Kluyveromyces lactis: one gene and its partners. The protein of the gene in region 1 purifies or fractionates together with the protein of each later gene. This does not show direct contact. Links are inferred from orthologs where the notes say so. Each region holds a gene or a part of one and is shown in the gene's direction. Other genes may lie near its edges. The genes, in order: KLLA0_A04730g, RBG1 and DBP2.

Region 1 (3,756 bases):
GTGCCGAATTGGTGCAAAAATATATCGGTGAAGGTTCCCGTATGGTCCGTGAGTTATTCGTGATGGCTAGAGAACATGCGCCTTCTATCATTTTCATGGACGAAATCGATTCTATCGGTTCCAGTCGTGTTGAAGGATCTGGCGGTGGTGATTCCGAAGTGCAAAGAACCATGTTGGAATTGTTGAATCAATTGGACGGGTTTGAAACTTCGAAAAACATTAAAATCATCATGGCTACAAACAGATTGGATATATTGGACCCTGCATTGCTAAGACCAGGTAGAATTGATAGAAAAATCGAATTCCCACCACCAACCGTAGCGGCTAGAACAGAGATTCTAAGAATCCACTCAAGAAAGATGAACTTGACCCGTGGTATTAACCTAAGGAAAGTCGCCGAAAAGATGAACGGATGCTCTGGAGCTGACGTTAAAGGTGTTTGTACCGAGGCTGGTATGTACGCACTAAGGGAACGTAGAATTCACGTAACCCAAGAAGATTTTGAACTAGCCGTGGCCAAGGTCATGAACAAGAACGACGAAACTGCTATCTCTGTAGCAAAATTGTTCAAGTAAGGATCCTTCACCCCTTTCATCTCAAACAGCGCATATCATTAGATACATCCCTACATATTATACATAAGCCACGTACAACACACGCCTGTGGTTGTACCCCCGTGTCAATATGTTTCTAATCAGATCCTCTCTTTTTCCCCCTCATCGCATCTCATCTCGTCATAAACTTGACCATCATGTCAATCTTCTCAATATACACGAAAGAAGAAAAAAAAAATTTTTACATTGTAAAGAGGAAAAGCTGTGAATCTTTTGAAATAAAATTTCAACCTTTAAGCCATTGAATTTTACCATTACGATAGCACATTTTGCATAAAACAGGATAGAGGAAAAGAGGCACAGAGAGCTACTGCTGATCTGATAGTCAATAGATTTATCAGCACTTGTATTGTTTGAATTGTTAGAGAGTAACAGTGGACAGTAAAGAAACAAATCTGGGAAAAAAAGAATCTCACAAGAAAGTGATAATTTTTTTTTGTTCTTCGTTTATTTGTTTAAAGAGAAAGAGTTAAGAATTGGACTTTAATTTCATTCTACTCATTCGTGTTTCTATATAACTCGACTCGTTTTCTCTAGGTACTCTGGATTACTCGGTTACAAGAGAGAAATTAAACAGAAAAGAGCTTAGATCCAGCTAATTTCATCTGAAGAAGAGAGAAAGAGCGGTTTTTCAAAGCAGATATGGGCGAACCTACATCCGATCAGCAACCAGCTGTTGAAGCTCCAGTTGTGCAGGAGGAGACAACCAGTTCTCCGCAAAAAAACAGTGGATATGTCAAGAATACTGCTGGAAGCGGTGCTCCTAGAAATGGGAAATATGATGGTAACAGGAAGAACTCTAGGCCTTATAACCAAAGAGGTAACAACAACAATAATAATGGTTCTTCCTCGAATAAGCACTATCAAAAGTATAACCAACCAGCGTACGGTGTTTCTGCGGGATACATTCCGAACTACGGCGTATCGGCAGAGTACAACCCTCTGTACTATAACCAGTACCAACAGCAGCAACAGCTGTACGCTGCTGCTTACCAGACTCCAATGAGCGGACAAGGTTATGTCCCCCCAGTAGTGTCTCCAGCTGCTGTTTCAGCTAAACCAGCGAAGGTTGAGATTACTAACAAGTCTGGTGAACACATAGATATTGCTTCCATTGCTCATCCACATACTCATTCTCATTCTCAATCTCATTCGCGTGCAGTTCCAGTAGTGTCGCCTCCAGCTAACGTTACCGTCGCTGCTGCTGTATCATCCTCTGTGTCTCCATCAGCTTCTCCAGCTGTCAAAGTACAGAGCCCTGCTGCTAATGGTAAGGAACAATCTCCAGCTAAGCCTGAAGAACCAAAGAAGGACACTTTAATTGTGAACGATTTCTTGGAACAAGTTAAAAGACGCAAGGCTGCTTTAGCTGCTAAGAAGGCTGTCGAAGAGAAGGGTCCTGAGGAACCGAAGGAATCTGTCGTTGGAACTGACACTGATGCAAGCGTTGATACTAAGACAGGGCCTACAGCCACTGAATCTGCCAAGTCTGAAGAAGCTCAATCAGAATCACAAGAAAAGACTAAGGAAGAGGCTCCAGCTGAGCCAAAACCATTGACTTTGGCCGAAAAATTGAGACTTAAGAGGATGGAAGCTGCAAAGCAAGCTTCTGCTAAGACCGAGGAACTAAAGACTGAAGAATCTAAGCCTGAAGAAACAAAGACCGAGGAGCTAAAGACTGAAGAATCTAAGCCTGAAGAAACAAAGACCGAGGAGCTAAAGACTGAAGAAACAAAGTCCGAGGAACTAAAGACTGAAGAACCTAAGGCGGAAGAATCAAAGGCGGAAGAACCAAAGCCTGAAGAACCAAAGACCGAGGAACCGACGACTGAACAACCAAAGTCAGATGAACCAAAGTCGGAAGAATCAAAAACTGAAGAGCCAAAAACCGAGGTATTAAAGACTGAAGAACCAAAATCGGAAGAATCAAAGCCTGCAGAACCAAAGACTGAAGAAACAGCAACTGAAGAAACAGCAACTGAAGCAAACGCCGAAGAAGGTGAACCGGCTCCTGCTGGTCCCGTTGAAACTCCTGCTGATGTTGAAACAAAACCTCGAGAAGAGGCTGAAGTTGAAGACGATGGAAAGATTACCATGACCGATTTCCTACAGAAGTTGAAAGAGGTTTCTCCAGTTGATGATATTTATTCCTTCCAATACCCAAGTGACATTACGCCTCCAAATGATAGATATAAAAAGACAAGCATTAAATATGCATACGGACCTGATTTCTTGTATCAGTTCAAAGAAAAGGTCGATGTTAAATACGATCCAGCGTGGATGGCTGAAATGACGAGTAAAATTGTCATCCCTCCTAAGAAGCCTGGTTCAAGCGGAAGAGGCGAAGATAGATTTAGTAAGGGTAAGGTTGGATCTCTAAGAAGTGAAGGCAGATCGGGTTCCAGGTCCAACTCGAAGAAGAAGTCAAAGAGGGATGATAGAAAATCTAATAGATCATACACTTCCAGAAAGGACCGTGAAAGATTCAGAGAGGAAGAAGTCGAAGAGCCAAAGGTTGAGGTTGCCCCATTGGTCCCAAGTGCTAATAGATGGGTTCCTAAATCTAAGATGAAGAAAACAGAAGTCAAGTTAGCTCCAGACGGAACAGAACTTTACGACGCGGAAGAAGCATCAAGAAAGATGAAGTCATTGCTGAATAAATTGACATTAGAAATGTTCGAACCTATTTCTGATGATATCATGAAGATCGCTAACCAATCTAGATGGGAAGAAAAGGGTGAGACTTTGAAGATTGTCATCCAACAAATTTTCAATAAGGCCTGCGATGAACCTCATTGGTCATCAATGTACGCGCAATTATGTGGTAAGGTCGTTAAAGACTTAGATGATAGCATTAAAGACTCAGAAACCCCAGATAAGACTGGTTCTCACTTGGTTTTGCATTACTTAGTCCAAAGATGTCAAACTGAATTCCAAACAGGATGGACTGATCAACTACCTACAAACGAAGACGGTACTCCTCTACAACCTGAAATGATGTCCGATGAATACTATAAGATGGCTGCCGCTAAGAGAAGAGGTTTGGGTTTGGTTCGTTTCATTGGTTTCTTGTACCGTTCGAACTTATTGACTTCCAGAATGGTCTTCTTCTGTTTCAAGAGACTAATGAAGGATATTCAAA
Region 2 (3,102 bases), on another chromosome or scaffold:
GCAACCTTGATGTTACCGGCAGCCAATAGAGCAGCACGTCTGTTTTCAAGCAGTTTCTTTTCCTCCTTTTGTTTCTTAGTTAGAAGTTTACCCTCTGCCTTTAACTTTTCACGCTTAGCTTGTTCTCTCTCACGCTTAGCCTTTCTAGCTTCTTCCTTTTCTTGTTCAGCCTTGGCCAACTTTTCTTCTTCTTCCTTCTCCAATCTCTCTTCTTCTTCCCTGGCCAACCTTTCTTCTTCTTCTAGCTGCTTTTGTAACTCCAATTGACGTTTCAAAGCAGCAAGACCGGCTGGGACCTTCTTCTTTGGTGCAGCCTTTGGTGCCGCACCTTCAGTGGACTTGCCAGCCTCCTTTTCAGCCTTCAGTTTAGAAGTTTGTTCAGCATGAAGTTTCTTGTTGTTTTCCTTCTGCGCTTGTTGCTGAGCCTTCTTCTTTGCGGCTTGTTCCCTCTTCTTCTCCTTCTCCTTCTCCTTCTTTTCCTTTTCCTTTTCCTTCTTGGACTTCAAGACTGGCTTCTTAGTATCCTCGTCTTCCTTCTTGTCCAGCTTCTTCTTAGATTTCTTCAAAGTGGACATAAAATCTTCCTCAATGGCAGATGCATCGGCAACTTCGGTTTCACCACTTGGCTCAACAGAACCATCTATCGAGGGTTCTACTGAAGATTCTTGAGGAACATCTTCCTCATACTCTTCGTCCCAGTAATTCTGTTGATTCTTCTTTGATTTTTTCGCCATCTTGAACTACTCTTTCGGATACAAAGGTTCTACTTTTACAGTTCTTCCGAAATCTTATTATGATAGACAGCAAACAAAGTGTAAAAGAGGGTTATAACAAGTAAAGAGATAATGTAAAATCCTTTTAATTGATCTTACGCAAAACAATCTTTCAAATAGTTTTAAGTTGTGAGAAAAACCTGTACTAAAAAATAAAAAACTGATGAAAAACTTCAAGTTCATGATTATACGTACCTCGATGGAAAGAAAAAAATAACATACTAGATTACCCTGTCTTTGGTGAGGTGCGCCCAAAATTCATCTTTCAGGGGCCAGAAAGGTCCCATTAGCCTTATTTTCGGGGTGAAGACCGGTCGATGCCATTCAGCATCGCTATTTACGATCGGCGTTGAAGATGTATAAAATATCACCTTGGACGGCTTGAAAAAAATTGACAGCTTCATCTTTGTCAACAGTAGGAAGTTCTACAGATATTCACAATCTCATCGCTTAGGATTAATGATATTAGAGTTTCATTATAGTTTGGTTACAGAGGCCAAAATCAGTTAAACGGTTGGAATCGATAGGTATCAGTCAGTATTCCACTGAGGTTGGCATCAAATTATAAAAAAAGGATTTATTTTGAAGAATTTCCTGATCAATATCTGAATTGAAATAAAAGATGTCTACGACAGTAGAGAAGATTAAGGCCATCGAAGATGAGATGGCCCGTACCCAAAAGAATAAGGCCACTTCTTTTCATTTGGGTCAGTTGAAAGCTAAGCTAGCGAAACTTAGAAGAGAGTTATTGCAGGCTGCTTCAAGCGGTAGTGGTGGTGGTGCCGGTGTTGGTTTCGATGTGGCCAGGACCGGTGTTGCTTCAGTCGGATTTGTTGGGTTCCCCTCAGTGGGTAAGAGTACTTTACTTTCTAAGCTGACTGGTACAGAATCTGAGGCTGCTGAGTACGAGTTTACCACTTTAGTTACGGTTCCAGGTGTCATCAAATATAAGGGTGCTAAGATTCAAATGTTGGATTTGCCGGGTATCATTGACGGTGCTAAAGATGGCCGTGGTCGTGGTAAACAAGTTATCGCTGTGGCCAGAACTTGTAATCTACTATTTATTGTTTTGGACGTTAATAAACCATTGCATCATAAACAAATCATTGAAAAGGAATTGGAAGGTGTTGGTATCCGTTTGAACAAGCAACCTCCAGACATTTTAATCAAGAAAAAGGAAAAAGGTGGTATCTCCATTACAAATACAGTACCATTGACGCATCTAGGCCCGGACGAAATTAGAGCTGTTATGAGTGAATATAGAATCAACAGTGCGGAGCTTGCTTTCAGATGTGATGCCACCGTCGATGATTTGATTGATGTACTTGAAGCTCCATCAAGAAGGTATATGCCAGCTATTTATGTGCTAAACAAGATAGATTCTTTGTCATTAGAAGAATTGGAACTTTTATACAGAATTCCAAATGCAGTTCCAATCTCTTCTGGTAAGGAATGGAATTTGGATGAACTACTAGAAGTTATGTGGGATAGACTAAACTTAGTCCGTGTTTATACTAAGCCAAAGGGTACGATGCCTGATTTCACAGACCCAGTGGTGTTAAGGTCGGATAGGTGTACCGTAAGAGATTTCTGTAACCAAATTCACAAATCTTTAGTTGAGGACTTCAGAAATGCTTTAGTGTACGGCAGCAGTGTGAAGCATCAACCTCAATATGTGGGGCTTAATCACACATTAGAAGATGAAGATGTTGTCACAATTTTGAAGAAATGAATACAGGCTACTTTTTTTTTCTCATTCTTCTCACCGTCATCATAGTTTTTAGCATTTTCATCGCATTTTCATGTAGTGTTATCCATTTTATTTAACAGCTTTCCATAGACGGATCTGGTTAGATTATCGTAAACGTTCATTACTCAGGTTGCCATAACTTCTGTTAAACATTAACTCAATACTGATTTGTCGTGTTATGTTTAAATTCATAAATAGTAGTAAATATATGATATTTTGTGAAATCGATAGCAACGGATACATATGGCCTTTTTATATTGGCCAACATATATGTTAAGATATAAAAGCAATGATGGATGCTGATGGTGATATGGAAAGAAAGAATGAATGAATGAAACTTCGGTTATTTGACGAAGTGAATATTATTCTATTAGAAATGAATGTGAATAGTATTGGTGGAATCCTCAAAATCACAGCAGTATTTTAATGAATCCTTTTAAGGTGCGATATAGTACAGCTTGAATTAACAAACAAGGAAATCTGGAGGAAAATGCAGCCTACTGATGAGAGTGTATTCCATTGAATAACGGATAAATTCGCAGAGAAATAAATCCCTTATTTATTTAACGCCATTCTTTT
Region 3 (3,756 bases), on another chromosome or scaffold:
TTTTCTCATTTCTTTTAGTTTACTTTGCTTTTTGTTCGGGATCCGTTGTTTATATACTATGGTGTGGTACCCTGAGCGTGGCTATGAGCAACACCTGTGCATTGCGCGGTAACTGATGAAGTGTGTGACACGTGATCTGGTATTTCGCATCAACTTGCTTCTTTCAGTTACCCGGTCAAGACCGGGTAAGCTTTTTGTTTTTTCCTTTAGCATGATTTGGTTTTCCCTCTTCTCTCTATCGAAAAAACCATAATCAATATTGACAAATTGTTCAGCTTAACAGAGTAGGTCATCTCGTCTTATTGACTGTTTGAAAGAAGTACGCACAAACCACCTAAGTGACCATTCATAAGCGCTCTCGGAAATATGGCTGAAGTGGAAAAGCAAGATGTTGATATGCTAGCAGCTGAACAAAATGATCAAGTTGATCAAGTGGAGGAAGAAGTGGACAGTGAAAAGATCAAACTTCTCACAGAAGCTACTTCCGAAGATGGTACTAGTGCTTCTTTCAGAATAACAGATGAAGATCATACCCTTGGTAACACGCTTCGTTATATGATCATGAAAAACCCGGAGGTAGAATTCTGTGGTTACTCTATTCCTCATCCTTCAGAAAACTTTTTGCACATTAGAATTCAAACATACGGCAAAATTACTGCTGTAGAGGCTTTGCACAAGGGTCTTGGAGATCTAATGGACATGTGTGATGCTGTAGAGGACAGATTCACGCAAAGAATCAGGGAAATGTAGAAATTGGTTATCTCCAGCTCCCGCATTAACTATATATAAGAGAATAGAATTAAATACACAACTACATCATCCTTGTATAATACACTATAATATCTATTGATTCTACGTTTATAGCTACTGGTAATCTAGCACATTGGAAGCACCGTTGGATATACCATTGGCAAAAGTAGCTGGAGTGGCTAATGTAATCACGTGACCATTTTGGTAAATTGGTACATTGGTACAAATTTCTTTTTCTCTCTTTTTTGTTTCTTTTTGAAAAATTTGCAAGTTCCCTCATCGCCCTTTGAAACTAATATATAAGCTGCAAACATTATTCAAACCTGTCTCTGATCCTCGTTCATTCAGTATTACAAGTGTGCATTTTTTTTTATCGTTTGGTTCTCAACATCAAGCAACTTATTTCACACATTATACAGAGAACAATGAGTTTCGGCGGTGGAAGAGATCATCAATTTAACAGAAACAACATGGGCAGCACTCATGGTGACTTCCGTGGTAGCAGAGGTTCTGACAGAAACAGCTACAACAGAGGTAATGACTTCCGCGGTGGCCGTAGCTTTGGTCGTGGTCCATCTCGTGATACCAGAGTTGATTTGGTCGCTCCAAACTGGGACGAAGAACTACCAAATTTGCCAGTTTTCGAAAAGAATTTTTACCAAGAACATCCAGATGTTGCTCAAATGAGTGAAAGTGAAGTTATCGAATTTAGAAAGGAAAACGAAATGACCATTTCTGGTCATGACGTTCCAAAACCTATCAGAAGTTTTGATGAAGCTGGTTTCCCATCTTATGTCTTGGATGAAGTTAAGCAAGAAGGTTTCGCCAAACCAACTGGTATTCAATGCCAAGGTTGGCCTATGGCTTTGTCTGGTAGAGATATGATTGGTGTCGCTGCGACCGGTTCCGGTAAGACCTTATCATACTGTTTACCAGGTATCGTTCATATTAATGCTCAACCTTTGCTATCTCCAGGTGATGGTCCAATTGTTTTGGTATTGGCTCCAACCAGAGAATTAGCTGTTCAAATTCAAAAAGAATGTTCCAAATTTGGTGCTTCCTCTAGAATTAGAAACACTTGTGTCTATGGTGGTGTTCCAAAGTCTCAACAAATCAGAGATTTACAGAGAGGTGTAGAAATCCTGATTGCTACTCCAGGTAGATTGATTGACATGTTGGAAATTGGTAAGACAAACTTGAAAAGAGTCACTTACCTTGTCTTGGATGAAGCTGATAGAATGTTGGATATGGGTTTCGAACCTCAAATCAGAAAAATTGTCGATCAAATTAGACCTGATAGACAAACTTTGATGTGGTCCGCTACTTGGCCAAAGGAAGTTAAACAATTGGCAAGTGACTATTTGCATGATCCAATTCAAGTTCAAATTGGTTCTTTGGAATTGTCTGCATCCCACACAATCACTCAGATCGTCGAAGTCCTTACTGATTTCGAAAAGAGAGATAGATTGGCCAAGCATTTGGAAACCGCTTCTCAAGATCAAGACTCCAAGATCATCATTTTTGCTTCCACTAAGAGAACTTGTGATGAGATCACTTCTTATTTGAGAACTGAAGGCTGGCCAGCTTTGGCCATTCACGGTGACAAGGCTCAGAACGAGCGTGATTGGGTTTTGGCTGAGTTTAGGTCCGGTAGATCTCCTATCATGGTAGCAACTGATGTTGCTGCTAGAGGTATTGGTATGTTATTGAAATTTAATTTTTTCAGCATTGGTTTGAACTTTAGTTTACATTGAGACTATCGTCAAACCTTTCTACTAACTATATTAGACAACTGTCGAAGTCATTTCTTTCGAAATGATCACGATATGCCTTTTTATTCGAATGACACGGATGTTTTCGATTCAAAGGTAAAAAATAATGAGCTGGTCTTATTATTTATCAACGAAATCCTATTGGATTTGGTGCGGACAGAGAAAAGGATATGAAAATACTTTTCATTTTGACTTCCACAATTATTGATAAAGATTTAGAGACTTGACCAGTCCGATGTGATTTGATTTATTCAGATCTCTAGAATTAAAAGTAGATTGGCAAGCTTACTAGTATTCATGACAATCAGGTTTTGATTGGACCGTTGGGTTCGAATGTGTGGTGAAGTAGCTTTTACACAACGTGGTTTTCTCGTTGCATTGAAGGCTGTGATGAATTACCGGACATTCGATACTTTTTCTAATCATGTTATCAATTTGACATCTCTTTGATGCAATTTTGCTGAAAGATGTTCTTTATTTTTAACATGATCGTTTGAGTTAGATCAGATTCGCGTATCATTAATTGTGCTTAGTAGTAGATTGGAACATGAACCTAATGAAATAAGGATTCATTCATTTTAACAAAGAGGTTAAAGAATTAAAAAACTGATAAAATAGCGTCACAGGATGGTTTCCCTGTTATGCAAAGTGTGCATTCAGTTTTATTTTTGCGATTCCTCTTAGTAGTTGTTCCATGTATTCTATGAAGTTAGAAAGAAAAGTACATATTTGCGACATAAGCAAGCCTTACATAAATCTTTGTCTTCCACCGACTATTCTGACATGAATAAGCCGCGCGGGCTAATGTTATAATAAATCGTTGATTGCGCCCTCTGGATTTTATATTCTCATTTGGAAGTGCTTCGAACTTGTGCTGTCAATATAGTTACCATTACGATTTACGAACGAACTTACTAACTTCATTCTTATTCAACAGACGTCAAGGGTATTAATTACGTTATCAATTACGATATGCCAGGCAACATCGAAGATTATGTGCATAGAATTGGTAGAACTGGTAGAGCCGGTTCTACTGGTACTGCCATCTCCTTCTTCACTGAAGGCAATAAATCTCTGGGTGCTGCTTTGATCAAGATTATGAGAGAAGCTAAACAAGATATTCCAGAAGAACTAAGAAGATACGACAGGGGTCAATACGGCCAACATCCAAGATATGGTGGCGGCCGTGGTGGTCGTGGCTTTGGTGGTGGCCGTGGTGGCCGTGGCTTTGGTG

Evidence for each region.
Region 2: the proteins of KLLA0_A04730g (region 1) and RBG1 purify together in Saccharomyces cerevisiae (affinity purification with mass spectrometry, with the first as the bait; 3 studies listed by BioGRID). This does not show direct contact. The link is inferred for Kluyveromyces lactis from reciprocal best matches to the Saccharomyces cerevisiae genes TIF4631 and RBG1.
Region 3: the proteins of KLLA0_A04730g (region 1) and DBP2 purify together in Saccharomyces cerevisiae (affinity purification with mass spectrometry; 3 studies listed by BioGRID, with this or other methods). This does not show direct contact. The link is inferred for Kluyveromyces lactis from reciprocal best matches to the Saccharomyces cerevisiae genes TIF4631 and DBP2.

What each region holds. Positions count from the first base shown.
Region 1 is NC_006037.1:422,429-426,184, reverse strand, and holds the start of KLLA0_A04730g (uncharacterized protein), read left to right. Parts: upstream 1-1,256; coding exon 1,257-3,756. Other genes in the region: proteasome regulatory particle base subunit RPT6, read left to right, coding at 1-575. UniProt on the Saccharomyces cerevisiae protein: Component of the eIF4F complex, which interacts with the mRNA cap structure and serves as an initial point of assembly for the translation apparatus.
Region 2 is NC_006042.1:2,172,695-2,175,796, forward strand, and holds RBG1 (GTP-binding protein RBG1), read left to right. Parts: upstream 1-1,395; coding exon 1,396-2,505; downstream 2,506-3,102. Other genes in the region: FUN12 (translation initiation factor eIF5B), read right to left, coding at 1-734; KLLA0_F23309g (uncharacterized protein), read right to left, coding at 3,079-3,102. UniProt on the Saccharomyces cerevisiae protein: Involved in ribosomal function.
Region 3 is NC_006042.1:2,215,549-2,219,304, reverse strand, and holds the start of DBP2 (DEAD-box ATP-dependent RNA helicase DBP2), read left to right. Parts: upstream 1-1,175; coding exon 1,176-2,448; intron 2,449-3,459; coding exon 3,460-3,756. Other genes in the region: DNA-directed RNA polymerase core subunit RPC19, read left to right, coding at 367-750. UniProt on the Saccharomyces cerevisiae protein: ATP-dependent RNA helicase involved nonsense-mediated mRNA decay and ribosome biogenesis through rRNA processing. Associates directly with chromatin, correlating with transcriptional activity.